2 linked regions of the Sus scrofa genome follow. The protein of the gene in region 1 binds, or shares a complex with, the protein of each later gene. Links are inferred from orthologs where the notes say so. Each region holds a gene or a part of one and is shown on either strand. Other genes may lie near its edges. The genes, in order: IZUMO1 and IZUMO1R.

What was found.
Region 2: the proteins of IZUMO1 (region 1) and IZUMO1R are in contact, whole or in part, in a crystal structure (PDB 5JKC), measured with the Homo sapiens proteins. The link is inferred for Sus scrofa from reciprocal best matches to the Homo sapiens genes IZUMO1 and IZUMO1R. Residues at the interface, in NP_872381.2 of Homo sapiens: Met75, Val77, Tyr134, Val141, Leu146, Trp148, Lys150, Asn151, Lys153, Glu155, Val156, His157, Ala158, Arg160, Lys161, Ser162, Tyr163, Asn239, Ser240, Ser241, Pro242, Ile245; in NP_001186135.1 of Homo sapiens: Lys42, Tyr44, Glu45, Ile48, Leu58, Trp62, His65, Leu66, Asp67, Gly80, Leu81, Leu82, Met83, Pro84, Gly85, Arg87, Ile91, Met145, Ser146, Tyr147, Gln171.

The regions. Positions count from the first base shown.
Region 1 is NC_010448.4:54,070,001-54,084,554, reverse strand, and holds IZUMO1 (izumo sperm-egg fusion protein 1), read left to right. Parts: upstream 1-8,235; 5' UTR 8,236-8,279; coding exon 8,280-8,517; intron 8,518-8,867; coding exon 8,868-8,942; intron 8,943-9,488; coding exon 9,489-9,575; intron 9,576-9,835; coding exon 9,836-9,856; intron 9,857-10,174; coding exon 10,175-10,255; intron 10,256-10,439; coding exon 10,440-10,540; intron 10,541-10,812; coding exon 10,813-10,966; intron 10,967-11,318; coding exon 11,319-11,526; intron 11,527-11,769; coding exon 11,770-11,848; coding exon of another isoform or gene 11,849-11,895; 3' UTR 11,896-11,948; downstream 11,949-14,554. Other genes in the region: FGF21 (fibroblast growth factor 21 precursor), read right to left, coding at 52-342, 1,026-1,129, 1,541-1,772; uncharacterized protein LOC110261360, read left to right, coding at 2,841-2,846, 3,148-3,515, 3,992-4,129, 4,222-4,372. UniProt on the Homo sapiens protein: Essential sperm cell-surface protein required for fertilization by acting as a ligand for IZUMO1R/JUNO receptor on egg.
Region 2 is NC_010451.4:26,511,235-26,525,769, forward strand, and holds IZUMO1R (sperm-egg fusion protein Juno), read left to right. Parts: upstream 1-4,856; 5' UTR 4,857-4,989; intron 4,990-6,034; 5' UTR 6,035-6,057; coding exon 6,058-6,195; intron 6,196-7,592; coding exon 7,593-7,800; intron 7,801-9,041; coding exon 9,042-9,179; intron 9,180-9,357; coding exon 9,358-9,626; 3' UTR 9,627-9,715; downstream 9,716-14,535. UniProt on the Homo sapiens protein: Receptor for IZUMO1 present at the cell surface of oocytes (oolemma), which is essential for species-specific gamete recognition and fertilization.

The sequences.
Region 1 (14,554 bases):
TAAATAATACAATAAATAAAGAGGAGACCCAATCATACACAGCCTGTGGCTTCAAGAAGTGTAGCTGGGGCTCCGGCCGTGTGAAGGCCCCACCATGCTCAGGGGGTCCGAGGAGCCCACGTCGGGAGGTTCAGGGGCCAAGATCCCTGGCGGCTCCGGGGGTGCCGGGGGCAGGCCTGGCAGTGGCAGGAAGCGAGCAGGTCCCCGGGGGGCCAGGTCCCGGTTGGAGGAGCGGTGCGGAGGCAGCCGGAGTGGGAGGCCAAGGGCCTCAGACTGGTAAACGTTGTAGCCATCCTCAAGAAGCAGCTCCCGGAAGCTGCAGGCCTCAGGGTCGAAGTGGAGCTGAGGCAACCAGAACAAAGATCAGAGCCGTGAGCTTCCCCTCTATCTTCCTGCTGCAGGACCCAGGCTCCCTTCCTTCAGACCCCCAGAGTCCTGTCCTCCACCAGGACGTGGGAGTCCTGGGGGACCCCCTCTTGCCTCAACTGTGCAATCCAGGTCCCCAGTCCCTTCCTCTGGGACCCAAAATGACAGCAGGAGCCTCCTCCTTCCCCCTCAGGCAGTCCTGCAAGGCCCCCCTCCCTGCCCCCACCTCACAGAGAGGAGTATTCCAGCCCAGGCATCTCTAAGTCCTGGCAGGGATATCTGGCGAGCACCCAAGGTCATGTTCACTTTACAGGCCATTGATTCCTGGAGCGACCCTGCACCCAGCATGAGCCAGGCATGTAGGAACCCGTACGGTCAGCACGGGTTAAGAGTCACAAGACTCGGCCTCCCGGGTCACTCTGTCATTCACAGGCCTTGTGACCTGGGGCTGGAGGGTGGTCCTGCCTGAACCTCCATTTCCTCTTCTGCTGAATATTGATACCAGCAGCTCCTGTCCCCAGGGATGGAGGCGATGTCTAGATCAGCAGGAGGCGTGGAAGCAAGCCAGGCCAAGGCCACAGATGCAAGAAGTGGTCCCCAGGTTGTGAGGATGGTGAGAGCAAAGGCCAGCTGGAAGGTCAGGGGTCCCAGAAACTCACCGATCCGTACAGTCTCCCGTCTGGCCCCTGGCACAGGAACCGGGATGTCTGGACTCCCAAAATTTGAATGACCCCTGGCTTCAGGGCTTTCAGCTCCAAGAGACCTGAGGGGAGAAGTGATCAGGGACTCAGCGCCTATGCCCAGCGCCCTCCTCCCTCAGACCCCAGGAATCCGGGCCTCAAATCTCTCCTCCCTCCGAACTGGGCCTTGGCATTCCCGTCATGGCACAGGGGTTAACGAATCCGACAAGGAACCATGGGGTTGCAGGTTCGATCCCTGCCCTTGCTCAGTGGCTTAAGGATCTGGCATTGCCATGTGCTTGTGGTATAGGTCGCAGATGCGGCTTGGATCCCGCATGGCTATGGCTCTGGTGTAGGCCGGCGGCTACAGATCTGATTCGACCCTGAGCCTGGGAACCTCCATATGCTGTGGGAGCGGCCCTAGAAAAGGCAAAAAAAAAAGACAAGAAAAAAAAAAAAAAAAAAAAGAACTGGGCCTTAATCTCCATACTCACTTTCAGGGCTCTGGCGGGCTACCCCTGCCACGGTGCCATCAGCTCTGATCTCCAGGTGGGCTTCAGTTTCCTGGGCATCATCCGTGTAGAGGTATCGTTGGCGCACTTGGCCCCCAAATTGGAGGAGGGGGCTGGAGTCAGGAATGGGACGTGCCTGGCAGGCTCCCAGCAGGACAGCCAGCACAGGGACCCACAGTCCCAAGCGCTCGAACTTGGCCTCGGCCCAGCCCATCAATGGCTCACGTCTTCAGGTGAGGTCTGGGGTCTGGGAGTTTGAACAGCTGAATGCTCTAGATTCTGCTGCTGCAGATGCTGCTGGTCTGGAAGAGCAGATTCACACTACTTGAGTTGTCCAAATGCCCAGGTCCTCTTGGGCTTGAATTCACAGCTGACAGGAACACCCAAATCTCTTGGGATGGATGCAGAAGCTCCAGAATTTATATCCAGACAGACCCGCCCAATCACCTTCCAGATGCCTGACCCATGATATTTGACCCACTTGGCAGAAGCTGGGATTCCACGGTGGCCAGGTCAGCCTGAACGGATGATGCAATGGGGGGGTCCTCTGAGCTGGGGGCCTGGACTCTGGGGTCTGAGGATCAGGGCTCAGGGGGCTGATGAACTGGGACCTGGGTGAAAGGGGGCCGGAAGCCCAGACTCTGGTCTGAGGGAGGAGGGGGCCAGGCCCGGACTTCTGAATCGGAACAAGAAGGGGGCTAGGAGCCCGGTAAACCCACCTCTCTGGCTGACTGATCGCAACTACGCACGGCTGCTGGAATTTCTGCATCCCACCTGAATTTCTGCGTCTCTGGGGTGGGACACTGAGGTTCCTTGACCTTCGGGGAAGGAGCAGAGGCCACATGACCAAAGCGTCCGCTCCTCAAGGACCCAGGTGTTCCTGGTCTGGAAGCTTCAAGCCAACCTCCACACCAGCCCGAACCCAGGCACGCAGAGGCCAAACATCCAGCCTCCTCTGCCTGGATCCTGATGCAATCCCGGTGTTTCTTTCACCAGAGAAGCTACCCAGGATCAGACAGGTGCCCTTAAAATAGCCTAGGGAGGGGGGGCGGGGGTGAGAGTCTTTGACTCAGAGTTGGCAACGGACCCTGGGCTTCAGAGGCAGAAGTTAGACCCACGATCCCAAAGAGAGTGAAGAGGCGGGCAATTTCCCGGAACCCCAGGGTGCAAGAGACTGGGCATCAGATCTGAATGAGGGGGCGGTGGGAGGCCTGGGCTGCTCAGGGTGCTGAGGAGCGGGCTGGGGTCCGGGTCTGGGGTCTGGGAATCCGGGTCTGGAGAAATGAGGGTCAGATCTCTGGAGAGGGAGTTCCCCTTGCGGGGCAGCTGGCACGAATCCGACTAGTCTCCATGAGGACGTGGGTTCGATCCCTGGCCTGGCTCAGTGGGTCAGGGACCCAGCGTGGCCATGAGCTGCGGTGTAGGTCGCAGACGCGGCTCAGATCGGGCGTGGCTGCGGCTGCGGCGGAGGCCGGCAGCCGCAGCTCCGATTGGACCTTTAGCCTGGGAACCTCCGTCCGCCGCGGGTGCAGCCGTAAAAAAAAAATCTCTGGAGAGTCAAGTGCAATTCCAGCGTCTTTGCTTTGTAGAATGACAATGGTCCGACCGCCCGGGCTAGGGTGGGTGCGGAGCGGCCTTGGGCAAGGAAACTGCTTCGGGTCTGCCGAAGGGCACGGCCTTTGTTCCAGAAGCCGGCTGCAGCCCGGGCCTCTGCGGGAGGGGCAGGAGAGATCCACTTCCACCTCGGCTCTCGCCGTTCCCGCCCTGGGAAGAGGCTGCGGCCTCCGAGACGTGCGCGTCTAGAAAGTGGATTCCGCCGGAAGGAGAAGCCGGGAACCCGGACATTTTGCGGGCGGAGGGGGTCGATCGGCGGCCCCGGTGCGCCAGACGCGCTCACGCCGGACCCGGAGAGCTGGGGAAGGCCTCGCATCCGCTTGCGGAGGAGCCTGGCGAACAGGTTCTGCTGCCCCCGGGGAGGACTCGGCAGGGGGGCGGGGGGCCGCGCACGACGCCTGGACCGGGTGTCCCCCGCGTCCCCGGCGTCCCTACCCAAGCCGCTGGGGCGTGGCGGCACTCGGCGCATCCAGGTACAAGGGCGGGTGGCGAACCAAGAAACTGGAAGGGAAGAGGGAGAGGTTGATGGACCGGAACATCTGGGTCCAGCGCTGCATCTGGCCGCTGGATCTCCGCGGCCGCGGAGGGATGTGGCTGCTGGGCAGCCAGGTGGGCGCTGCCCCGGGCTGGCCAGTGCCGGGGAGGAGGGGGCTGGGGCGCGGGTCTCGGGGTCCCGGGAGGGCAGGAGGTGGGCGCTGCCACCCTAGGGGGCGGAGCCGGGGCTGGGCGCCAGGGAAGGGGTGGGGCTCCGCCTCCGACTCTCGGCCTGGAGGGGCGGAGGCTGAGAGCCACCCGACCGCGCCCCTTCTCCTACCTCAGCTTCCCGAACCTTTGCAGCCAGTCGGGGGAGGCGGCGTGGAGGGGGAGGGCTGTGGGGCCTGGGAACCTGGAGTTCCGGGGGCCGCCGGATGCGGGCTGCACTTATGACTGGGAATCTGCCACCCGCCAGGAGCTCAGGTAAGTGGGAGATGCGGATGCCTCGGACCCAGGAGCCGGGCCTTCAGTACCAGGAGGCGCACCCCCAACCCCTAACCCCCTGCTACCCGCAGGTGTCTCCTGCGCCCCGACCCCCAACTCCTGCTCCTCCAGGAGTCCACAGCTCCCATCCAGACGTGGGCCTGGGGCTTCTCGCTCTCTACCCGACCTGTTGCTTGCTGTCACCTCCATAGTGGACTCTGCCCCGCCCACGCAGGTCCTTGAGAAAGGAGGTGGGGGGACGTGTTCAAGGTCAGTGGCCCTTACAGCCCGCGGGACGGAGATTCCAAGATGTGGGGACCAGGCGGTGGGTCCCGCCCGTGGCATCGCTAACTTTGGAAACCACTCGTTTTCACCATCTCCCACCCCCGAAATTCTGAGCCCCCAACACCTGCTAACTCAAACCCCAGAGCCCGGCTCCCTTTTTCCGACGGACCCAGGAGTTCAAAGCCAGAGTTTCCTCATGCCCACAGGCCTCTCCTCCCTGCCGCTCAGCCTCCAGCCCCGAGGATCTGCTAATTTCACTTTTCCTCCCTGCAGCCATGTGGGTCCCCAGCCGCCGCCACCTCTGTCTGACCTTCCTGCTAGTCTGTGTTTTAGCAGCAATTTTCTTCCTGAACGTCTATCAAGACCTCTTTTACAGTGGCTTAGACCTGCTGGCCCTGTGTCCAGACCATAACGTGGTATCATCTCCCGTGGCCATATTCTGCCTGGCGGGCACGCCGGTACACCCCAACGCCTCCGATTCCTGTCCCAAGCATCCTGCCTCCTTTCCGGGACCTGGACTATTTACCCGGATGGCCGGTTTGGGAACCAGATGGGACAGTATGCCACGCTGCTGGCCCTGACGCAGCTCAACGGCCGCCAGGCCTTCATCCAGCCTGCCATGCACGCCGTCCTGGCCCCCGTGTTCCGCATCACGCTGCCTGTCCTGGCGCCCGAGGTAGACAGGCACGCTCCTTGGCGGGAGCTGGAGCTTCACGACTGGATGTCCGAGGATTATGCCCACTTAAAGGAGCCCTGGCTGAAGCTCACCGGCTTCCCCTGCTCCTGGACCTTCTTCCACCACCTCCGGGAGCAGATCCGCAGCGAGTTCACCCTGCACGACCACCTTCGGCAAGAGGCCCAGGGGGTACTGAGTCAGTTCCGTCTACCCCGCACAGGGGACCGCCCCAGCACCTTCGTGGGGGTCCACGTGCGCCGCGGGGACTATCTGCGTGTGATGCCCAAGCGCTGGAAGGGGGTGGTGGGTGATGGCGCTTACCTCCAGCAGGCTATGGACTGGTTCCGGGCCCGATACGAAGCCCCCGTCTTTGTGGTCACCAGCAACGGCATGGAGTGGTGCCGGAAGAACATCGACACCTCCCGGGGGGACGTGATCTTTGCTGGCGATGGGCGGGAGGCCGCGCCCGCCAGGGACTTTGCGCTGCTGGTGCAGTGCAACCACACCATCATGACCATTGGCACCTTCGGCTTCTGGGCCGCCTACCTGGCTGGTGGAGATACCATCTACTTGGCTAACTTCACCCTGCCCACTTCCAGCTTCCTGAAGATCTTTAAACCCGAGGCTGCCTTCCTGCCCGAGTGGGTGGGCATTAATGCAGACTTGTCTCCACTCCAGATGTTGGCTGGGCCTTGAACCAGCCAGGAGCCTTTCTGGAATAGCCTCGGTCAACCCAGGGCCAGCGTTATGGGTCTCCGGAAGCCCCAGTAACTTCCGGAGATGCTGGTGGTCCTGTAGCAGCTGGACACTTATTTCAAGAGTGATTCTAATTGGCTGGACTCAGAGGAAACCCTGCAGAGGGGCTTGCTGCAAGGGTGGAACATTCTAGAACCAGTGGAAGAGCTTTTCATGATGGCTGGCAATGTCTGGAGACGCTTAATGCCATTCTAGACCTCGCATTGCCCACCTGTTCTTCCCAGCCCGTGTCCAGAGTACTTCTAGAGGGCTGTCTGCCCCCTTCCCCAGGGAACTCCTTGCTCCAGTGTTGACTGTCTAGAAGAGATATTTCTCCTCCCCCTGGGGTGTCAGAACTGAAGGACCTCTTGGAGGTTGTGGGGCAAGCACTCACCAACCCCCCACCTCTGTTTCTCCAAGGGCTCTGGGGGAAGGTTTGCTCTAGAGAGGGTCAGTGGTAGGGTCTGTAAAGAACCCTTCTGGCCCCTTCCAGAGGGGAGGGGATTCTGGAATTCTCGATAACCTCCGCCAAGAAGCCGATGAGGGTACAACCAGAAGCTCACCACCTCACCACTGCTAGAAAGGTTGATGGAAGACAAACTACCTGTGTAGCTGGGGTGGTTTGGGAGCAGGGCGGAACTTTCCCCAACCTTCCATCCCCCAGAAAACCACAAACCATAGATATACTAAAATATGGGAGGAGGAGGAAAAGGATGGCTGCTGAATGGTGCAGGTTATGGAGCAAGGCTCTGCAGAAATCTAGGGACAACTTTTTTTTTTTTTTTTTTAAGCCCCCAAACTGCCAACGGTAGGTAGATGTGCATATGTTGGCTCTGAGTTCATTTCCTCTCCCACTGAAGGATATTTCCTCCTTGGCAGCTGGGCTGCTGAGGCTGATGGGGTCGATTTACCAAACGCCACTTGGCATAAGGGTGCCCATTGCAGAGACCCGCCCATATCGTGCCTCTTGCTAACCCCTATCTGCCCCGAATCCACACGACCATGAAATCTGGCTTTGAACAAGCCAGGAATGGAAGGCTCTGAAGGTATGTAGCCCATGGCCTGGCCTCCAACCCAGGCAGGAGCACAGGGTCTGGCCAAAGAGGATGGGACATTTGACTCAGGTTTTAGGATCCTCCTGATGCGTTTTGAAGGGAGTGAAGGCAGATGCTTTTATGATAGAGTTGTCTGAGAATCTAAGCCCTGTTCTAGTCTTCTCAGGGAATTTGTGGGCACCGGTCCCTACTCAGTTGCCCTTGGTGGGAGAGAGGGAAGTATGAATTAAAAGTCCACATCACCAACCCGCCTCTGCAGGTTTTTGGAGTTCTGTGTACACGTGTGTGTGTGTGTGTGTGTGTGTGTGTGTGTGTGTGTGTAAGGAGAAGTAAAGGTATGGAGCTTCTGCAGACTCGCATGACTCATGTCTTGGGAGACTGTTCCTGCTCTTTTGTTGCTGCAGTTGTGTGGGTTGTGGTCTCAGAACCTCAATTCTTTTCTTCCAGACTCTCAGTATTGGCCCCCAGACCTCTTTTTCCTCTGGGACCTTGGCATCCAGCCCCAGACGATGGAGGAGGGAGGGAGGGTGCAAAGCTTATAATTCTTGAACTACATTTCCCATAAAGCTATGTGATTGGCTGCGGTAATCTACTAGGGAGAGACCCTGGCGCCTTCTGGGAGTCGTAGTCCTAGAACTAGAAAGGGCCGCTCCCCGCGTTTTCGAGGCCCGACGACTGGGTTCCCCAAAAGCCGTGGGCTTCTGGTCAAAAAGCCTGGGTCTTGGGGCCCAGAGGGGGAGGAGACTGATGGCTAGAAGCCTTTTCCTTGGCTCTAGAGCCGACAGGGTACCTGGCCTTCGGTGATGCTCGGAAAGTTCTAGTCGGCAAAGGCTGCCGCCTCTGTGACATCATGGAGGTCTAGGCGGGGCATCCTTATGTTGCGGTCCAATCAGACAGAGTCGAACTTCTGGGCAGGGCGGAGGAAACCCTAGGGAATATCTCTTGGGAATTTGGGGCTCCACGTGGGTAGCTAGAAGGCGGATGCTGCGGGAGGTCCTAGTAGTAAGGAGCGAACCGTGACTGTGACCCGCAACAAAAGCTCTCTATACCACGCAGCCCACCTCACCCTCGCCCCCAACAAAGTTCTTAATTTTGGTCTTGGGAAAATATTAGCGTGGAAGGACCGGCCTGCTTCTCCCACCTAAAAGCCCTCAGAACCTAGACTCTTTAGCGAACCCTAGCGTTCGAGGGCATCCCTGTTAGGAGTCAAGGTCGGGAAGCGGCTGGCTGTTTAGAGTGCTTCAGGACTCCTCGGTTTCCTAATGAGAAGGGTGCTCCCTGCCAACTGGGGCTTCATTAGTCTCGGAGAAGGGCTTCTCTCCGTTTAGCGTTCACCTCCTCGGTTTAGGGTAAGAGGTCCTCCCCGCGAGTTCCGCGCGGACTGCGAGCTCTGGCCGCAATGGAGCCGCAGCGGCTTTCGCTCCTGGTGGCAGCGTTGGCCGGCTGCCTGCTTCCTGCCCGGGGCTGTGTCATATGTGACCCAAAAGTCGTGGAGGAGCTGAGCTCCTTGGAAACAAATTACCTGCCTGGCCACCTGGAGGCCAAACATCACAAAGACGTGATGAAAAGGGTAAAGCAGGCGGTGAAGGATTTCCAGGATTTGCCGATTGATGAGGATTCCTACATGGGGGTCGTTGGTGAGGGCAGAGTGCAACTCCTGGGTCCCGGGGAAGGAGAGGTCTGGGGTTAGCATTGCTAGGAGGTACCAGGGAGAAAGGGCTGGAGGCAGAGTTTCCTGGGTTTGGGAGTGGAGAGGGCTGGGATGCAGAGTTCGGGGTTCCCCAAGGGCTGGCAAATACTGTTCCTCTTACCCCTTATCCTGCAATTTTATGTGATAAGACTACAATTCCCAGAAGGCAACGGGGTGTAAAAGCCCTTTTACTAGGCCTATCCTTGCCCATTGGCCCCATGGGTATTGTAGTTTCTAAGACGAGGCGCGCCAATGAGACAGTAAGGCTTGGAATCTGAGGTTCTAATTTCCCCACAGATGAGGCCACTCTGGAAAAGGCATCCTGGAGCTTGCTGAAGGATCTGAAACGCATCACGGACAGTGACGTAAAAGGTAAATGCGCAGAGGGGGCAGGAGAGCGCTTCTAGAAACTCTCAGGGAAGTGATTGCTGGTGACACCTGGTCTGGTGATCAGGTACTAGATTCTGGAGCCAGACTGCTGAGGTTCAAGTTCTGGCTCTGCTGTTTCCTAACCATGTGGCCTTGAGCAGGGACTGTCACAGCTTGAATTCCCTTGTGGCACAGCCAGCGGGTTAAGTATCTAGTATTGTCACTGCATGGCCCAGGTCGCTGCTGGCCCGGGAATGTCCACATGCTGCGCTGCAGGGGTGGCCAAAATAAAATAACACGAAGGAATTGCACAGCTTCGTTATCTCTGAAATGGAGCCCATAACAGACCCTTCATCCCAGTCGGTGCTTTGCCCCGTGGCCAGCATCATGTTAAGTGGTCGTTAAATTTTACTGCCCTTCCCTAAAAAGACCCCCAAACTGACCGCCAGTTCTGCCAACTTGACAAAGGCCAGGTAGCTGTACCGCACACCCGGGGGGAGCAGGAGGGTGGGGGCGGGGACTTCTCTGCGTCATCCTGCTTCTTCCCAGGTGAGCTCTTCGTGGATGAGCTGTTCTGGACGTTGCGCCTGGCAAAGGATACCTTCGCCAGCTATGCTGCTCAGTTTCAAAAAGAGGGTGAGTGTAGATGGGAGTCGGGAACCCCAGATTTCTCCTTCCACAGTCTAAGAGTCCCTGTCCCCAGCCTTCTGCTTCTCCGCCACGGATCCCTCAGCTCTCCCAACCCCCTTCTCCCTCAGACCCAGGGGGTACAGGCATCCAGGTCCTTCCTCCTCCCCATTCCGAAGGCCCAGCCCTCACCTGTTCCGCATCCCCTCTCTCATGCCCTTTAACTTCGAAATCTGATTCTTATTTTTTTCCCCTTTCTTCCGAGACAGTTTTTTGTCCCAACAAATGTGGTGAGTCCGGATTATGGGACCTGGTCCTCTATCCCTCATCCCTGCCCCGTGAATATACTTTTGGGTCCATGCAATCTTTCGTTCTCTGCCCCCAGAGGTTCCTGGGTCTCCAGTATTCCTCCGCACTTCTTGGGAAGTGGGTCCTAATCTGCTGGCACTCTTCTGAGCCTGGTTCAGGGGGCTGTGTTCTAGCCCCGCCCCTCTCCGGCTGACCTCCTAGGGATTCGGCTCTTGACCTTGCCCCAGCCCTTGGCCCTGCCCTCTCCTTTTAGCCCCGCCTCCTAGTGAGAGAATACAACCTCGATCCTGCCCCCTCAGGTTTGATGTTGCAGCCTCTGATCTGGTGCAGTACCTGCCAGAAGCAGGTTCACTCTTGTCGAAAGTCCCGGAGTTGTGGAGGTGAGCCCTGGACCCAGCAGGTGGGACTAGCGCAAGAGGGGTGGAGCCGGAGGAGGGACCGAGTCTAAAGAGGGTGGAGACTGGAGCCAGCCAACTGGAAACAGCGGGGCTGATGTCAAGTGGAAGGGTTGGGAGAGGGCCGAGAACCGCGAAAGAGCATCCCACAGTAACTCCCCATTCCCAGAGCGCAAAGTCAAGGTCCATCAAATGGAAGATATGATCCTGGATTGTGAGCTCAACTGGCATAAAGTCTCTCAAGGCCTGACGGATTACAGCTTTTACAGGGTGAGGTCCTCCAACTCCTGTTAACCCTTGAAGTCCAAGGCCATCAGGCTTGTATGAGCCCCCCGGTCCCTGTACCCACAGGCCTGCACCCACCATGCCCATGACCCATGACCTACCAAGTTTGGCTTCTTCTGCTCCCCTGGGACCCTAGGCCCTGATCAGGACACCTTGGACTCCCACCTCACCACTGAAGCCCCGTGATCTTCTCACCCCTATACTCCCCCAACCCCTGAATTCCCCAGGCCTCTGTGACCCCTTGAGCTTGGGTCTAGGTTTGGAAGAACAACTCTGAGACCTTGATGGCCAAGGGGCAAGAGCCCACCCTGACCAAGACCATGGTGAGTCCGAAGGATGCAGGCACATATCGCTGCGAGCTGGGTACTGTACAATCCACTCCAGCCACCATCATCCATTTTCATGTCACAGGTCAGTGCTGGGTTGTTGAGAGACGTGGGATTCAGATGGTCCCTAGGTTGGGGGGGTCGGGGGGGTGGAACTCCAGCTCCAGGGGCGTGGCCTGCTCCCGGGGCGTGGCCTGTGGGCATAACTTTCTATCGGCCTGTGGTTTCAGGTCCCAAAGGTGTGGCTTCCTGGCCTGAGTGTGGCCTCTGGCCACAGGGCCAGGGCCCCCCCCACTGGGTGTGTTCGGACTTCACGCAACTGGGGGTGTGATTTTTGTCCCGCGGGGCCTGGTCGGGTTGCCATGAGGAGAGCTTGCCTGGGCCTTGGCGGGACCTTGATGCCCCCCCAGGACTGCTGCTTGCCCCTCCTCTCTCAGTATTGCCCAAAAGAATCGTGGAGGAGACACCGTCACCAAACACCGAAACCCAGGATGAGACGGCTCCGGGTGAGGTGACTTTGGATCGTCCCCAGACGTCCGCAACCCTCCAATCACAGTCTCCAGGGCCCGAGAAAGTGCTGAGACACCGCCTGGTAGGGCTGCTCATCGGGGCCATCGTGGTGCTGATAGCCGGCGTCGTGACCGCGTGAGCCGCCCCCTGAAGAAGGCGGGGCCTGGAGTGAGGGGCGGGGTTTCCAAGTCCCTAAGGCAGGAAGGCTCTGAGAGCCCACGATCGCCGAGAGCTGGCCTTCCTCCGGGAGCGGGGCTTACCTAGGAGGGCGAAGCTTGGCTAAATGCTAGAATGAGATCAAGCACCGGGGAGGCTGGGAAGCGGTGTTCCTCACTCAGTTGGGACCTAACCTCTTTCCGCTATTTGCACCCCCGCCAGGATACTTTTCTCTCAGTCTGGGAAAGTGATGAATTTCCTAAAGGCCTCCCCGCTCAGCCCTGGCAAAGGCACTGCTTAGGACTCCGGGTTTCGAAGGAAAAGAGGAAAACATTAGGGAGAAAATAAAGATTAATGTAGCTGTCTAAGTATCTGACGCACTCCTCCGGACGGATTCTAACCTGGTTCCCTTAGAGACGTCTGGGGACTCTCTCCCGACTGAGGGAGGAGGGGCTGGAGACCTGGCCCCCTGGGTCCTGGAAGGGGCCCACTGGCTGCGATGTGATTCCAGAATCAAGGAGTGGGGCAGGGCCAGCCCTCCCCAGATCTCCTCCCCCAGGCCTGGTCCCCTCACAGGACGCCCCCTCCCCGCTCTTCCTGCCGGTTTCCTCTGCCTTTTCCTGTCCCCCACCCAGTGCTGGGAGCTGGGGCCGAGGCAGAGGCTGAACAGGAGCAGCGGGGTCAGGAACCATCCAGGGCAAGAGGAGCCAGGGGCCCCGGGTGCTGCCGGGACCCGAAACAGGGTAAGAGCCTGGGATCCCAGGGTCCAGACCCCTCCTCCTTCAGACCCAGGTGTGGGTCCCCATCCCAGCCACCCGGGGCCCCATTCCTCTCTCCCACCCAGCCCCCTCCTCCCTCTGACTTAGGAGGCCTGGTCCCCCTCCACCCCCACCTCTAGCTCTTCAAGCCTCGTGAGTGGGGGCCTTACCCGCTCTCCCTTAGGGCCATGCTATCTGGTGAGCGGAAGGAGGGCGGAAGCCCCCGCTTCGGGAAGCTCCATCTCCCGGTGGGCCTGTGGATCAATTCTCCCAGGAAGCAGCTGGCCAAGCTGGGGCGGCGCTGGCCCAGCGCTGCCTCTGTCAAGTAGTGCCCACCTCTGCCCGACTCCTGCCCCACCTCACCTGCCTCCGGTCTCGCCCTGTTTGGGACTCGGTCCCTCCACTGGAAAATGCCCGGGACCCCGAAAGGGTTGGCTCCAGTTCCTGTCCTGAAGGGGCAAGTGAGCTGGCAGTAGGGGACAGTTGGCCCCAGTGATACAGGGCCTGATGGGGCCAGTGTGGGTCCTGGAGGTGGGCTTAGGCCGGGTGGACACGGGGACGGGGGACCGGGACACAGAAGGAGCAGCAGCTTGATTCACCTTCCTTCCTCCCGTGCCTGCTCACCTCTTGGAATTTCCTTCTGTGGGACTTGCCTTTATTTATTTATTTATTTATTTATTTATTTATTTTCTCTCTCTCCCCCCCTCCCCCTCTGGCCTCTGTGCCCCCCATTTCTATATACCCCGCATCTCTTGCCCTTCTGTGGGTGTCTGTCCCCCACTCGCTCTGGGACTCTGCTCCCCCATCTGTGTCTTTGCCCCCCTCCTTCGTTCTCTAATCCCCCACCCTGTCTCTGCGTGTCTTCTGGGGTCTCTCTCTCCCCCGTCTCTGCTCCCCGGCGGGCCGCCAGGTCTTCGTCTTCAGACACGGGGAGCCGAAGCAGCGAGCCGTTGCCCCCGCCGCCGCCGCACGTGGAGCTGCGGCGAGTGGGCGCGGTCAAGGCGGCCGGGGGAGCCTCGGGGAGCCGCGCCAAGCGCATCTCTCAGCTCTTTCGGGGCTCGGGGACCGGCACCACGGGGTCCGGCGGCGCGGGAGGTCCCGGGACTCCGGGGGCAGCTCAGCGCTGGGCCAGCGAGAAGAAGCTGCCGGAGTTGGCGGCGGGCGTGGCCCCCGAGCCGCCACTGGCCGCCCGCGCCACGGCGCCCCCGGGGGTCCTCAAGATCTTCGGCGCCGGGCTGGCTTCGGGCGCCAACTACAAGAGCGTCCTGGCCACGGCGCGCTCCACGGCGCGCGAGCTGGTGGCCGAGGCGCTGGAGCGCTACGGGCTGGCCGGCAGCCCCGGCAGCGGCCCCGGCGAGAGCAGCTGCGTGGACGCTTTCGCGCTGTGCGACGCGCTGGGCCGGCCCGGGGCGGGCGCGGTGGGCAGCGGTGAGTGGCGGGCGGAGCACCTGCGAGTGCTGGGCGACTCCGAGCGCCCGCTGCTGGTGCAGGAGCTGTGGCGGGCGCGGCCCGGCTGGGCGCGGCGTTTCGAGCTGCGCGGCCGCGAGGAGGCGCGCCGCCTGGAGCAGGAGCCTTCGGGGCGGCGGACGGCGATGGTGAGTTGGCGGCGCGGACGCTGGAAGGCGGGGCCAGCGGAGAGGGATGGGCGGGGGCTTGGGGGGGCGGGGCCAGAGAAGCTGGTGGGACCGGACGGCGGGCTGGGGGCGGGGCCCGCGAGAGGGGTCTGGGTGGGGCCGATACAGCCCTGGGTCTAGGGGAAGACGAAACTGGGACGGGACTCGGGTCAGCCAGGTGGGCTAGGCCGGAGGTCGTTGCCCTTGGGATAGGTGCAGCGTCGCTGCGCAGGGCCTGCGATACTGGGGCGGGGCCGCGGAATGGAGTAATGGGGAGGAAGAGATACAGGGCGGAGCAGGTGAGTGGTCCTGATGTCGGGAGGCCTGTCAGTAGTAGTAGGTTGAATTGGTTTGTGAGGGGCAGTGCCTTTGTGGATGGAGGCTAGAAGGGGCACGGGCCTGGAAAGTGGGAACATGGGCTGGTAGATCAGAGCCTAAGAATGGGAAGAGTCTCGGAGGAGTGGGTCTTGGAACGAGTGGCCTTAGACTGGGTTGGCTGCAAAGCTTGAGTGGGGGCTTGAGGGTGGTGCATGGGAAATGAAGAGGTATTGGTACTGGCCAAGAATCGGCTACCTGGGGGCCTGGTCTTTGAGAAGGCCTGGGCCGGAATGGGAGCACAGGTGCACTGGTGGTAAA
Region 2 (14,535 bases), on another chromosome or scaffold:
CAGACCTGGTGTTGACGTGGCTGTGGTGTAGGCTGGCAGCTGCAGCCCCAATTTGACCTTTAGCCCAGAAACGTCCATGTGCAGCAGGTGCAGCTGTTTAACAAAAAGGGGGAGTTCCCCATAATACAGAGATTTTCTGCACCCCCCTTTCGTCATGATCAGCATTTAGGACTCTTATGTGATCACCTGAGTGACGCATTTAGCTCAGTCCTGCCGCGTGGCAGGTCTTGAATACTCTGCAGATTTTATTATAAGATTTAAGTGCCAAGAAATAATTCAGTAGACTTTTTTTGTGTGTGTCTTTTTTTTTTTTTTTTTTTTGCCATTTCTTTGGCCGCTTCCGCGGCATATGGAGGTTCCCAGGCTAGGGGTCCAATCGGAGCTGTAGCCTCCGGCCTACACCAGAGCCACAGCAACGCGGGATCCAAGCCGTGTCTGAAACCTACACCACAGCTCATGGCAGCGCCAGATCCTTAACCCACTGAGCAAGGCCAGGGATCGAACCCGCAACCTCATGGTTCTTAGTCGGATTCGTTAACCACTGAGCCACGACGGGAACTCCTCAGTAGACTTTTTTTATCTGGTTAATGTAAAACAGAAGAGCACAGACTTAGAAGTTAGATAGACCTAGACTCAAATCTGTGTTCATCACTGACCACTGATTATGGGCTTGAAAATTCTACAAACTCCCTTTGTAACAGCACCTATGTTAGTGTTTGAGGGAATCAAAGAGGCCAATAACCTAGACAAGCTGACATAGAAAACTGACCACCACAGTTTACTCTTGTCAACTTGGCACTGATACATGTCTTAAATCATACTTAATCTCCAAGTAAAGATATCAGTGTCCTACTTCCGCATGATACAACTATCCTGTGTACAACCAAAAATATGCTAATCCATTTCCCAGAGATGTTAAGTCTTCTCCTCTGACATCCTGCCACTTAAATCTAGCAATACAAAATTAACCATTCCTAATACATCTTATGACAGATGATAAGGAGATAAGACCTTGAGCAACTCATTTAACCTCTCTGAGATCATCTGTACAACAGGTTAAATACTTATGCAGGGTGAAGTGCTCACTCTTCAGCAATCATTTGTACCAATCAATATACACTATGTCGTATATAGTATGGCACTAGACTCAACCTGTGCCCTTGACCAGCAGACAAGGCAATGAGATGAGGTCTCCCAAGAGTTTGGCACAGGGCCTGGATCAGTCATTCCTGAGAAACCTTGACTTCTCCTTCCTCCTGGAATGGGGGAAGGCACAGTTCTCAGAATCATCACAGTGGTGGCTTGTGTCTCTTCATCTCACCCAAAGGGACCATGCATCCCGCAAGAGAAACAGCCCCTGAAAACTTCTTCCAGATCCAAAGAAACCACCATGCTGGGCAATGTGGAGGAACTAAGAGAATTTCTACATTTCTGCAGATGGGTGAAGTGCTTTGAGGACAATACAGTAAGATGACTCAATGGCGCCTCTTAAGCCCCAGTATCCATGGCAACCAGACATTCCACAAGCTTTGATCAAAAAACAGAATCATCAACTCAAGTATGAGGAGCCACTTAGCAAATTAAAAATCTAGTTTTGTAAACTGGAGTCATTGAATATTCGCAAAAATTACCATTATCCAGAGAACTAAGTCTTAAGCAAACAAAACATTCGACAGCTTCACATAATGTGATATCATGTTGGTATAGGAAGTGTTCACTGAAGAATCACAAAGTTCACTTTTCTAGAAACGACAACTGCTTAATCATGGCATCACCTGAGGCAGTTTTCCCATTGGTTTTTAGAAACTTGATCTCCCCCCCTCTCTAGCATTTCATTCATAGGCACAAGGGTACAAAGAGTCACACATTTGTCACCTTAAAGCTATTTCCTTTCCACTGATTTCTTTCTATAAGCCACAAAACACATTATGGACCTTCCAACCCATCTGTGCATTTCACAAGACATCTTTAATGTAAGCGAAGATAAAGACATAAACTAAAACATATCTAGAAAAATGCATATTTGTTTTCTTGAATCCATAAAAATAGAAACTAATCCAATTTCATTCTTTAAACGTGAAATTGTGTACTAAGAGAAATTATGCCGGAGAGAAAAACAGTTCACCGATCACATCTGGGAAGCTGCATGGCTAACAGAGTTGTGGGGAGTCAGGACCATGAGCCAGCTGAGGCCTGTGGGTACAAGTTATCTAGTCAGAAGTGAGAGGTGAATGAGGGTAAAACAACAAATTTTTTAAAAGGGTGAGCATCTGAAAGCCTGCACATCACACACACATGCCACTTATACCTGTGACTATCTACAACACCGAGGCGTCCCAGGATTTTTCCTGGCATGCTTCTTTGTGAAAATGAATCATAGGAGAGAAGTTGCTGGGGTTTTTTTGGGGGGGGGTGATTTTTTTTTTTAACCAAAGAAAAGCACTTGTTCATTTTACAAATACCTACGAAGTGCCTGCCATGTACCAGGCTCAGCAGTCACAGCTGTGAAACTGACAAGACACAATCTCCACTGGTCCAGGGGCTTTGGTCTATTAGCAAACACGAAAGTCGGCAGACAGTGCCAGGAAAGTGTGGGATCCTGACGGAGGCTGTGAGAGGACCAGGAAGGGCACTAGCTCTTTGCTTTCTTAGTCTGTTCTGGAACTCCAGCACCTTGGGTGACCGGGAGAGTCGGGAGAAGAGAATTAGCACTGGCCACCTCCGGCCGTGGTCCCAAACCAGAGGCGGAGCTGCTCCTTCGCTGCTGTCTGCCTCCCCCTCAGAACCCTCTGGATGCTGCTCTAGCTCTGCTCTTGGCTATTTAACTGTTCTGTTTTGTTTAAGAACAAAATTGTTGGCGATCAGCCATTTCAAATGGCTTCCTCCACAGGCAGCTTTGGTTTATCAGCTATCCGTCAGCAAACAGATCTCGCTGGAAGACTCAATCATGGTAGGGCAGAAACGCGTTTTCCTCAAGGGCTGCAGACCCCCTTTCTGGGGGTGCAGAGGTCAGCCTGCTCTGAGGCTGCTCTGCAGCCCCCTGCCCCCACCCCGCCCCACTCTGCCCCCCAGCACCTGCCCTATCCTTCCTGCTCATTTCCCACAGCCTCTCCCCAGGGCCCACCAGCCGTGCCTCCTCCACTTCCCTCCCTCCCTCCGCGTAAAAGACATTTACCCAAGGACTTGTCTCCCCATTTCAGTCATTAGTGTTGTGCTTCACTGCCGGATTCCTGTCCCTGCCACATCCACAGCCACCGGGCGCTTAACGTTAAACCCCAGCTCTCCCACCTCATCAGACCTTGGGGCCTCCTGAATATTCATGATGCCTTGAACCAGACATGCACTTGAACCAGACCTGCTTTTCCCCTGCCCTGGGATGCTGCAGGGAGAGACGTGGGCTCTTTGGTACCAGACCCTAAACAGGAAGAGACCCCTGACTCTGTTTAGCACGAGAGGCTAGACATCAATCATCGCTGTTCTCAGATAAAGCCCACACGTGACGCCCAACACACAATCTGATTAGGGCATGTTTTTTCTTTTTGGTTTTTAAACAGACTTGACCCACAGGCAGCACCTCCCCTTTCAGCCCTGGAGATCTCCCCCCCACCGGGTCCTCACGCACCAGGTATGGGGTCATGCTTACCTGAGTTCAGATCCTGGATCTGCCCACTCCCCAGCTGAGTCTCGGTTTCCTCACAGGTAACATGGGAAGGATGCTCACCAGAGGAGGGTCGTTGTGAGGAGTAAGCCAAACCGCAAACAGAAGGCCCAGCCCGGTGCCCAGGTCCTTCACGGAGCTCAGAACGCAGTGACGGCGACAACCCAGGCGTGGAGGATAGCATTTTCCAGCTCGATGGTTAATTCCCGTCTGCACATCACCTGTGTAGCTAAACAGCCTGCTTTCTTTGCTTCAATTAAAAATGCTTTCATTGTCATGTTTCAACTTCCTGTGTGTCGATAAGACGCCAGTGACTTTGACGACCTCTCCTTCAGAGAGGGAACTTGTTAGGAGGCAGGCCAAGAAATGGGCTCCTTTTCCAGAGTTTTCATCATCTTGGGGACTCTCCTAAGAGCCTGGCCACGTTTCCTGCCTCTCCTCAGCTGAGGAGGATGCGCCCGTGAACTTCACCATGGCTGAGGGCAGTTGCAGAATCTCTCGCTGGACAGCGGTCCCTGCTCTCTCAGGAAGCCTGTCTCCCAGGCTTGGAGGGATTTTTTTTCAGTTTTGTTTGCTTTGGCTTTGGGCATACATTTAAATTCTTGCATCCCTGGCCGCCAAGGCCTGGACCCAGCAGGAAGCCTAGCTCCCGTGGGCTGTGAGAGGACGCAGTCACCATTACAGCCCAGGTGGGGTCCATCTCAGGTGACCGAGCTGCTGAAGGGGCAGGGAAAGCTCTGGAACCGGGCTGAGAGAGAAAAGCTTCATAGGATAAAAAGCTAAGAATAAAAACCATTTAGACTTACTCTGCCAGGCTCGATGCCAAGTCCTTTGCAGGAACTTTCTCGTTCGTTTCTTTTCCCCAACAATCCCCCTATAGCAGCCCTTTCTACAGATCAGGAAACTGACACTCAGAGCGTTTAAGGGGTTTTCTCAAGGTGGTCCAGCCAGCAGGCAGCAGAGCTGAGAGCAGAACTCCATAGCTGACTGGTTAGGGATCCAGCATCGTCCCTGCTGCGGCTTGGGTTTGATCCCGGGGCGGGGGCGGCGGGGGGACACTTCCCCATGCCTCTGGAAAGAAAAAAAAAAACAACTGAGGCACGAACTAAAGAGCCTAGGATCTTGCCTCCTGTGGGAAAGTGAAACCATCCTGGCTCCACCCACAGGAGGCCCCTGCACGTGGGTAGGATGGATGCTGTTTAATGGGAGGCACCTGGAGCTCTGCATCCGCATTTGGCTCAGCAGGAACCTGAGAGGGTAATAAATAGGCTGAGATGGCTCCTCAGCCTCATAATCTCCGGAGGCAGGAGAGTGGGGCTCCTGCTTTGAAAGTGAGTATGAAGAAAGCGCTAGAAGGGGAGGCATCTCTCCTCTGTTCACCTGATGCAATTGATTCACTCCAGGGCCATGTCTGTGCTTGCAACTGGTGCTGAGGCAAGAAAGCAGCCTTGGATTTGGACTTGAGGGTGGGCTCAGAAAGGGAGCCGGGGTCTCCACCCCCGATGTTTGAGACTCTAAATGTGAGCTGGGCCAGAGGTTTGGGGTTTCACTGTGTTGGGTCCACGGGCTGGTTCCTGAGAAGCCTGGAGCCTGGGCTTCTGGGTGGGTGAAGGCTGGGGGGTGCCTCTGGTTCCAAGAGATGGGCTGTTGGAGGCAGGATGTGTGCTTCTGCCCTTTCTGTTTGTTTCTCTCTCGTATAATGAGAACTACCCAGAACAGAGCTGGCCTCCTCGTTCTTGTAATGTGGATCTGGTTTTGGATGCAGAAGATGTGGGTGGCTCACGCCTTGGCTCTGAGAGGCCAGTAGAGCTGCTGGGCTCCTGGCTGCCCCAGCCTCATGCTCAGGCTGGGTTTGAGATGGCATGAGGCTAGTGGAGTCAGACTGCTGCTCTAGGCGACAGGACTCTGCCCAGAGGGACCTTGGGAGGGGGCCAGTTGCCTGAAGAACTGTAGGTCCTGTGTGGACCCCCTCCGAAGGACCAGAGTTAGGGTTAAGGTTAGTTAGGGTTGGCACTCTATGGAGGAAGGATTGCATTTGTCATGCTACCCAACCCCCTATGTGCTCTTAACCTCATGGAGAATCTGGTTACTGAGTATTTAGTTACTCATCCAGGCTCGAAGCTCTGAATTCCCAGCCCTTATGCCACTGAGTTAGAAGAGCCAGAGAAAGTTCCCCCAGGAAAAGCTAGAATCATTCGACCCCCAACCCCCACTCATTTGGGGCTGGCCTCAGGTTCTACGTCCGTAGGTTGTTGGGGCTGTCAGCCTTCACGGCCATTTTATGTGATGCTGCCTCACAGTTGCATGAGGGGGGCTTGAAGCCCATGCTTGCTTCCCAGGGGCAATGGAGTGGAATGCAATGTCCTCCCATCACAGGTGGGGCTTCTTCGAGGCAGGCCATGGGGTGGTGGCGGCAGCTCCTGCTGGGGCTGTGGGCGGTCCTGCCCACGTGGGCCGGGCCTGAGCTGCTCAACATCTGCATGAACGCCAAGCCCCACAAGCCAGAGCCCAGCCCGGAGGACAAACTCTATGAGGAGGTACGGAGGACGGACCTGGTGTGGCGGGTGGGTCAGGTGGGGGCCCCTGCAGATCAGGGAAGGGCCACAAAGGCCAAGATGGTTTCTCAATCCGCATCCACCCTGACTCGTTTGTTCCCTAAGCTGGGATTTGGGCAAAGGCCACTGGAGGGGGGCTATGATCTTTTGAGACCAAAATTCCTGAGTGATCCAAAGTTTCCATCTCTGATTGGGAGTTGGGGGCTAGTGGATGCAAACTGTAACATTTAGAATGAGCAGGCAACAGGGTCCCACTGTTCAGCACAGGGAACTCTCTCCAATCTCCTGGGATGGAACATAGTGGAAAAGAATATAAAAAATAAGGTATGTATACATATATGACTGGGCTACTTTGCTATACAGCAGAAATTGACACAGCATTGTAAATCAACTATACCTTGATAAAACTTAAAAAGTTTCCATCCCTGGAGTTCCCGTCGTGGCACAGTGGTTAACGAATCTGACTAGGAACCAAGAGGTTGCGGGTTTGGTCCCTGCCCTTGCTCAGTGGGTTAACGATCCGGCGTTGCCGTGAGCTGTCGTGTAGGTTGCAGACGCGGCTTGGATCCTGCGTTGCTGTGGCTCTGGCGTAGGCCGGTGGCTACAGCTCCGATTCGACCCCTAGCCTGGGAACCTCCATATGCCGCGGAAGCGGCCCAAAGAAATAGCAAAAAGACAAAAAATAATAATAATAATTAAAAAAAAAAAAAAGTTTCCATCCCTGAGCCACTTAGGGAGCAGGGGCAGAGGGCGATCCTGGAAGCCCGTTGATGTTCAGCCTAGATTCTAACACGCAAGTTTCACCTCCTCTGCCCTCCCACCAACCGGCCCTGGGGAGGAGTTCCCTGGTGGCTCAGCAGGTTAAGGATCCAAGAATACAGCCTTGTCACTTCTGTGGCTCTGGTGACTGTTGTGGCAAGGTTCGATCACTGGCCTAAGAACTTCTGCATGCCAGGGCATGACCAAAATAAGCAAACACACAGGCCCGGGCAGGAGGAAACATGAGACTTAAGGGACCACCCCCCCCACCCCCACCAAGTTCCCAAAGACAATTGACAGGGATGAGGGAGGAGGAACAGAGCTAGCAGGTGCCCTCCCTCTGGGTAACCCTATGGTCCCCTGGGTCCCGTGGGGTTCCCCAGCTGTCCCTCATCAGCTAAGACCCTGGCAGCCCTGTTCTAGGGGACTCCTAGGCTGCAGCAAGGAAGCCAGCGTGCAGGCGCCCTTTGGGTGTGAATGTCAACAAATTATCGGCAATTCCTCCTGCCACTTCCCCGCTGCCCGGGCTCTCCTCAAGGGGGATTATAATGTTCTGGCCCAGACACTCCTCAGGCCCCTGCCCCTACCGCCCATGCCTTTTGCTTCTTCGTCCACATCAGTGTATCCCCTGGAAGCACAATGCCTGCTGCACGGCTGACACCAGCTGGGAGGCCCACCTGGACGTGGCCCTGCTCTACAACTTCAGCTTGGTCCACTGCGGATTGATGATGCCGGGCTGCCAGAAGCACTTCCTCCAGGCCATCTGCTTCTACGAGTGCTCCCCCAACCTGGGGCCTTGGATCCAGCAGGTGCGAGGGGCAGGCTGGGGAGGCAGAAGTCGCGGCCATCAGGGTCCCATCACCTCGGGCCCTGGAAGATGCAATGGGCAGGATGGTGTCTTGAGAACAGTGGGATGCAGGGATTATTTGAGATGTGTTAAAACCGTGTACCAGCCCCTAAGTCCTTGTGTTTCGAAGGGAAAAGCTTTTTCTTTAGCCTCCCAGGCCTCCCCTCTGTCTCAAAAGGCTGACTCAAGAGTTAAGGATTAGAAAATAGTGATACAGCTGAAAATGAGTTAAAACAGACTCCATGATGTTATGCCCTACCTTGGCCACTAACTCACTCTAACCAGGTTTTCCACAAATGATTTCTTCCTTGCTTAATTGCTTTCTTTTACTAATGGTTACTTTTTAGAGTTATATTGCATCTAACGTTTTCTTTTGTAATTAAAATGCTCCCTGGAGTTCCCGTCATGGCACAGCAGAAACGAATCCTGGAATCATGAGGTTGCAGGTTCAATCCCTGGCCTCGCTCAGTGGGTTAAGGATCCAGTGTTGCGGTGAGCTGTGGTGTAGGTCGCAGATGCAGCTTGGGCCCCCCGTTGCTGTGGCTGTGGTGTAGGCCAGCAGCTACAGCTCCAACTGAACCCCTAGCCTGGGAACCTCTGTATGCCACAGGTGCGGCCCTCAAAAGACAAACCAAAAAAAAAGACAAACAAAACAAAACAAAACAAAAAAACCCACTCCCTAACACTGCTTCCCTGTAAGCAATCTTCTTTCCAGAGAAAAGGTCAAGGAACAACAACCCCGATGACAACCAGAAACCATCCCCGGACCAGTTGACACCAGACTTGATGACTTTAAAATGATCTATGGAGGAAGAATAACGCAGACCCCTTAATCAATAACCCTGTCTTCCGAGCTAAACCTGTAAAACCCCTCGCTATCCCCTCTCAAGCGAGGAGAATTTTGTGGTGTGAGCCTACTGTGGCCTCCTTTGCTGGCAAAGCAATAAAGCTGGTCTTTCTAGTTCATCCCGAACTCTGTCTTGGAGCTTTAATTGGTGCTGGTGTACAGAGGCCACCTTTCAGCTGCAGTATCTTCTCTTTGTAGGAACAGAGCTGGGCACAAACTGTTTAACTCGCCTCGTCGTTCTCATTTGTAAAGTAACATTTAGTGACTTTCTAAGAGACTTATGTTCAGAGGGTCCCTGACCCAAGTACCACGGCAGCTATTAATATTCATCAAATTACTGCTTTTCCAATTCTCGCCTCTTGCTACTCTGCACCCAGACGGACCCGCACGGGCAGGCAGAGCGGATTCTGGACGCGCCCCTCTGCCAGGAGGACTGTGAGGAGTGGTGGGCTGACTGCCGCACATCCTACACCTGCAAATCCAACTGGCTCGGAGGCTGGACCTGGAGTCGGGGTGAGTGGTGCTTGACAGAGGCAGGGAGGGGTCCCCACCCGGGAGGGGTCCCCACCCACGGGCGGGTGCAAGCTGCTCTGCTTCCCCCACACACACACACACCCCACACACCCCGCCCCGGGCAAATGATGGGGATGCCAGGACCAGAGCGGGTGTCGCGTGCCTCTATCCCTGTTAGGGAAGCACCGCTGCCCGGCGAGGGCCCTCTGCCACCCTTTCCCGCATTACTTCCCCACCCCCGCCGACCTGTGCGAGAAGATCTGGAGCCACTCCTTCAAGGCGAGCCCGGAGCGCCGGGACAGCGGGCGGTGTCTGCAAAAGTGGTTCGAGCCCACCCGGATCAACCCCAACGCGGCTGTGGCCCGCCTCTTCGCCAGCCCTGCCCCGTCCTGGGCGCTCTCCTACAGGCTCATGGCCTTCGCTCTGTCCCTGTCCCTCCTCTCCTGAGAGCCCGCCTCCCTCCACACATGAGCAGCACAGGGTGCGGGTGGGTGGGATGCTGAGGCCGCAGGAGCTGGTGCCTGAGCCTCGCAGGTTCCGTTCTGCTCCGCTCTGCCTTTCTGGCCTGGATGGCAGCTGGGATGGCAGCTGGGAAGGCAAAGGTGGCTACCCCTGCTGCCCTAAGGCTGGGGGGCTGTGACATGGGACTCCACATTCCCATGGGACTTTCATGGTCCTTTGGTAAGTGGACCGGCAGTGGACACGCCCACGCAGAACCTTCTGGAGCCAGCAGCTTCCCAGCATACACAATGTCTCCTCACAACCTTTGCCTTGAGGAAGAGAGGCTTCGAGTTCGGCTGCTGTCCAGTTAGAAAAGCCAACCAATAGTCACCCACCCAGGCAGTGTCTCATTCAGTGCACGTCCACCCCCGTGTGCCCGGCAGAGCTGAGGGTGACAGCCCGGGACTCCTGCCCCACGATGGTGCCTCTGAAAAAACAGCAGTCGGCCTTTCCAGGCTTTCTGACGGGCTCGGTCCTGGCTCTGTGGTGCGGGGTTGGGCTGCATCAAGCAGGGGCCGGTGTGCCTGCTGGCACTAAAGTCTCCAAGTGGGTTGTCACTTTGCTAACGATGACTTCTCCACACGGGCCAGGCCCCCTCGATATCCTCAGGACGCCTCTCTGATAAGAGTACTTTCAACACCTGCTGTTCTTCAGCAAGTGACACACGGTGCAAAAGACCCAAAGCCAGGGCGACCATAGGGCCACTGGTTTCCCTCAGCTCTATTTTGGATCCCAAGATGGAAGCAGCAGCTCAGGTGTTTCCACTTTCCCTCTTCTTCTCAACCTCAGAATCACAGCATGCTGGTGTGAAAGTTCTGGAAGCCAAAGTTCTAATGTCTTTACCACTTTCCGTATGACTTTTAGCAAGTCCCTTGACCTTCATTTAAGACCGTCATGGTTTCTCTCCCCACCGAGAGGAATGAGAAAGTTGGAACCAGATGATTTTTAACTTACAAAAAGAAAAAGGCAGTGCCACCGTCTGCTGGGATACAGCCTGTGCTTCTTGAGCATGCGTCCTAAAGCCCCTCTGCTGGGATACAGCCTGTGCTTCTTGGGCATGCGTCCTAGAACCCGGGAGGGAAGAGGCAGAGCTGAATCAGAGAAGGGACACCAAGGGGGCTTTCACGTTCCCTCAGTGAGTGGATGTGCCGGCTCAGAACCTTCTGGAGCCTGCAGCCAGCAGCTTCCCAGTATAAATGGCGCCCCCTCACAACCTTTGCTTTGACAAGAGAGGCTTCAAATATATCTGCCGTTGAGTTAGAAAAGCCAACCAACAGTTAGGTATTCTTGACAGATGCCAGCCAGCTCTGCTCATCAATTAAACACCACCTCCACCCCTCCCACGCTTGCCTTGAGCGTTGTGCTCATTCACTGTGCAAAGCCCAAGCCCATTCCAGGCAGGGCACTCATGTTCTAAAACCAGCCTCCAGAGTCCTGCGAGTGAGCTTGCTCAGAGTCTGCAGAAGGAGGCAGACAGCAGCAGTGGTGACAAAGACTTTAAAAAAGCTGGAAGTTTGCAGGACCACCTCTGCCCGGTGGGGTCCTAGGAAGGCTTCACAAAAAGGGTGAGGCCTGAGCCCCAGTGAAGAAGGGTCACTTCACGGAGAACAGGAAGGAAATGTGAGACAAACCCCAGCCCAGTCCCCAGGCACGAACTGTCTGAAGCAGGACCTTTAATTTATCTTCAATCAATCACTCTCCCCAGGCACGAACTGTCTGAAGCAGGACCTTTAATTTATCTTCAATCAATCAATCAAATGTGGCTTCAAAAAAAAAAAAATATATATATATATATATACACATAGGTAAAAGTCTCTTAAGAATTGGGGGTTGAATAAAGTGTCTGAGAGTGTGTTTTTGGTAATAAAGCTGAGAGTGTAATGATTATTTTTTAGTAATTTTAGGTATAAATATAAAATTAGTCAAAGTAGGGTTAAATTGAGATGAACAAAACACAACTAGTTCTGGGGATTTTGGAACCACTCTCCTGGAAATGTTGCTTGGAGCTGTGGAAGTAGATGAGTTCGAAGAAAAATGTAGAGAGGAAAACAAAACACTTGCGGAGAGTCTCTGACTCAACTACTGTTGAGGGTTAACCGTTGACATCATGGCTGAACTCAGGTCCAGCCAAATTTTCTGCTCAGGGAGGAAAATTTTTAAAGGGACGTAATCTCAGTTAATCATTGATTGATGCAGGGGATCAGACTCATCTCCATCTCCCAGGCTTGTCGAGATCTTGTGATCGATCTTTTTTTTAGATGCTCTCTTGTCCGTGTTGGGGAGATTAGTGAAGGGGGAGCTAGGGCAGAGCTCTTGTCATCTGTTCATTATTCTTCATTTCTACATCTTCGATCTAGGGAAAGAACCAACAGGTTAGGCAAGGTACTGTGTGATCAAAAGATTTGAAAGGTGTGCTTGGGTCAGAGGTGAGCATGACGGTGCCTGGTTTAAAGATTAGTTATGGAGTTCCCACAGTGGCTCAGCTGTAACGAACCCAACTAGTACACATGAGGACATGGGTTCGATCCTTGGCCTTGCTCAGTGGGTTAAGGATCTGGCATTGCCATGAGCTGTGGTGTAGATCACAGACGCGGCTCGGATCTGACGTTGCCATGGCTGTGGGGTAGGCCGGCAGCTGAGGCTCTGATTTGACCCCTAGCCTGGGAACTCCCATCTGCTGCAGGCGCCACCCTAAAAAGACAAAAAAAAAAAAAAAAAAAAGGTAGTTACAATGTAGCTTTGCTAAAGTGACAAGAAATGAGGTTTCCTGCAAAGAGCTGCTCACAAGTAGAAGCAAGTGAAGAGACAGGAAGCCGAAGCTAGGTGTAGGAGAGAAATGGAAAAACTGTATCTCAGATGGGTAGCATCAAATTCTGAGTTGTCGTCTTTATATTAATTCATAAATAACTGGAGTTATTACTCTACACCAGACACTGCTGATCCTGGGGAGCGAAGGACTGAATATACAAATGAACAAAGACTAATCTGTGTATAGAACTAGGATTCTTCCCCACAACATGTAACAACCTCAGAAGCCAACTTACTACCTGCAGTAACCAGTCCAAGAGGTCAAACTATTTTCTACGACAACCAGACAGGATCACCCAGTGATAACCTCTCTAACCTCTTAAATGGCCAGGACTTGGTCAGTTACTGACAGCTTCTCTACGTTTGGCCCGTTTCCGACTTAGGACCAGTTGGAGAAAGCCAAAGGGTCTTTACAATCCACTTGCATTCAATGCCTCATTTCTAGTTAGCGTGCCTACAGCTTCCTCATGCTAAGAGCCTCCAGTGAGGGCATTCCTGAAGCCCTTTTTTCTAGGCTTCAGCCTGCCTTTGAGTCTCCCAAAAATTCAAGTGATGGCTCCATTGAAAGCTCCGAATAAACTGCCATTGCTTGTTCTCATCTGCTTGGTCTTATTTATGTCCACAGATAAAATAATGGTTCCTGTCTCAAGGAACTTATATAGTAACGAGGAAGACAGTAAGAATGAGTAAGCAGTACAAATAAAAAATAACTACAAATGAGAAAGTTGTTGGGAAGGAAGCAGACAAGGGACTTGGAGGGTTGGGGGAAGCGGCTAATTTAGGTGATCATTTAAAGGAGTAGGCAGTGTGGAGTTCCCGTCATGGCTCAGTGGCTAATGAACCTGACTAGCATCCACAAGGATGCAGGTTTGATCCCTGGCCTCACTCAGTGGGTTGAAGATCCAGCGTTGCTGTGAGCTGTGGTGTAGGTCACAGACATGGCTTGGATCCTGAGTTTCTGTGGCTGTGGCAACTACAGTTCCAGTTGGACCCCTAGCCCAGGAACCTCCATATGCCGAGGGTGCAGCCCTAAAAGGACCAAAAATAAATAAACAAATAAGTAGGCAGTTTGAGGGAACACTTCAGAGACTGGGAGCATGTCTGTAAGATGAATGGAAAGAGCTAGTGGAGGTAAAACAAAAAGAGAGCAGAAGAAGGAGTTCCCTAGCGGCTCAGTGGATTAAGGATCTGGCATTATCACAGCTGTGGCATGGGTTAGATTCCTGGCCCAGGAACTTCCACATACCATGAGCATGGACCAAAAAAAAAAAAAAAAAAAAAAAAAAAAGAAGAAGAAGGCAAAAGAACTCAGAAGCTAAGTAAGTTCAAGGGGGAATGGGTGAGCCAGGGTATAAACACAAAGATTGATCTTGGCAAGGAAGTGAGTTACTCTTCCATTAAAACAGGAGGAGAAGAACGCAAATGCGAGAAAGCAATTTCAGGGTTCAACTGTTTCAAATATAAACCTAACATTAAGGTTTTGCCACCTGCAAGAGGGTTAGATGCTCAAACCACTGGGCTAGTGAGAGAATTCTGGCCAAAGCATGAAGTCCAGGCAGCTGCTTCACACAACCTGCTTTCCAAATTCCTGGCCCAGACAGCTTAGCCATATGGTCAGTGTAAACTTTCCAGGAGATCAGAATCCACTCAAGGGTGACATTAAAAAAACTCAGACAGGATTATTTACAGGATCAGGATATTTCATGAATAGAGAGCCTAAGAGTTGACACCAGCATTGAAAAAGCAAAACATTGAAATTTTCTGAGCTCTGCATCTGTCTATAGAGACAGGGGCTGTGGTCCCAGTCCTAGAACAGCCACTGGTTGTGAACCTGCTGGGCTCAGGTCCTCTGGCTCCTGCTTTGCAGAAGAAGAACCTAGAACTTACCAGGCTCTGATTACTTTGATTCAAGGGTGAACTTTGGAAGGAAGGAGAAATTTTCCCCGGGTGGATCCTGCCACCTTAGCAGAGAGCTCCAGGAAGCCAGGTCATAGGTGGGGACAAAGGGAGACAGCTAGAAGGGGCCCTTTTCTTACCAAAGGCTAAG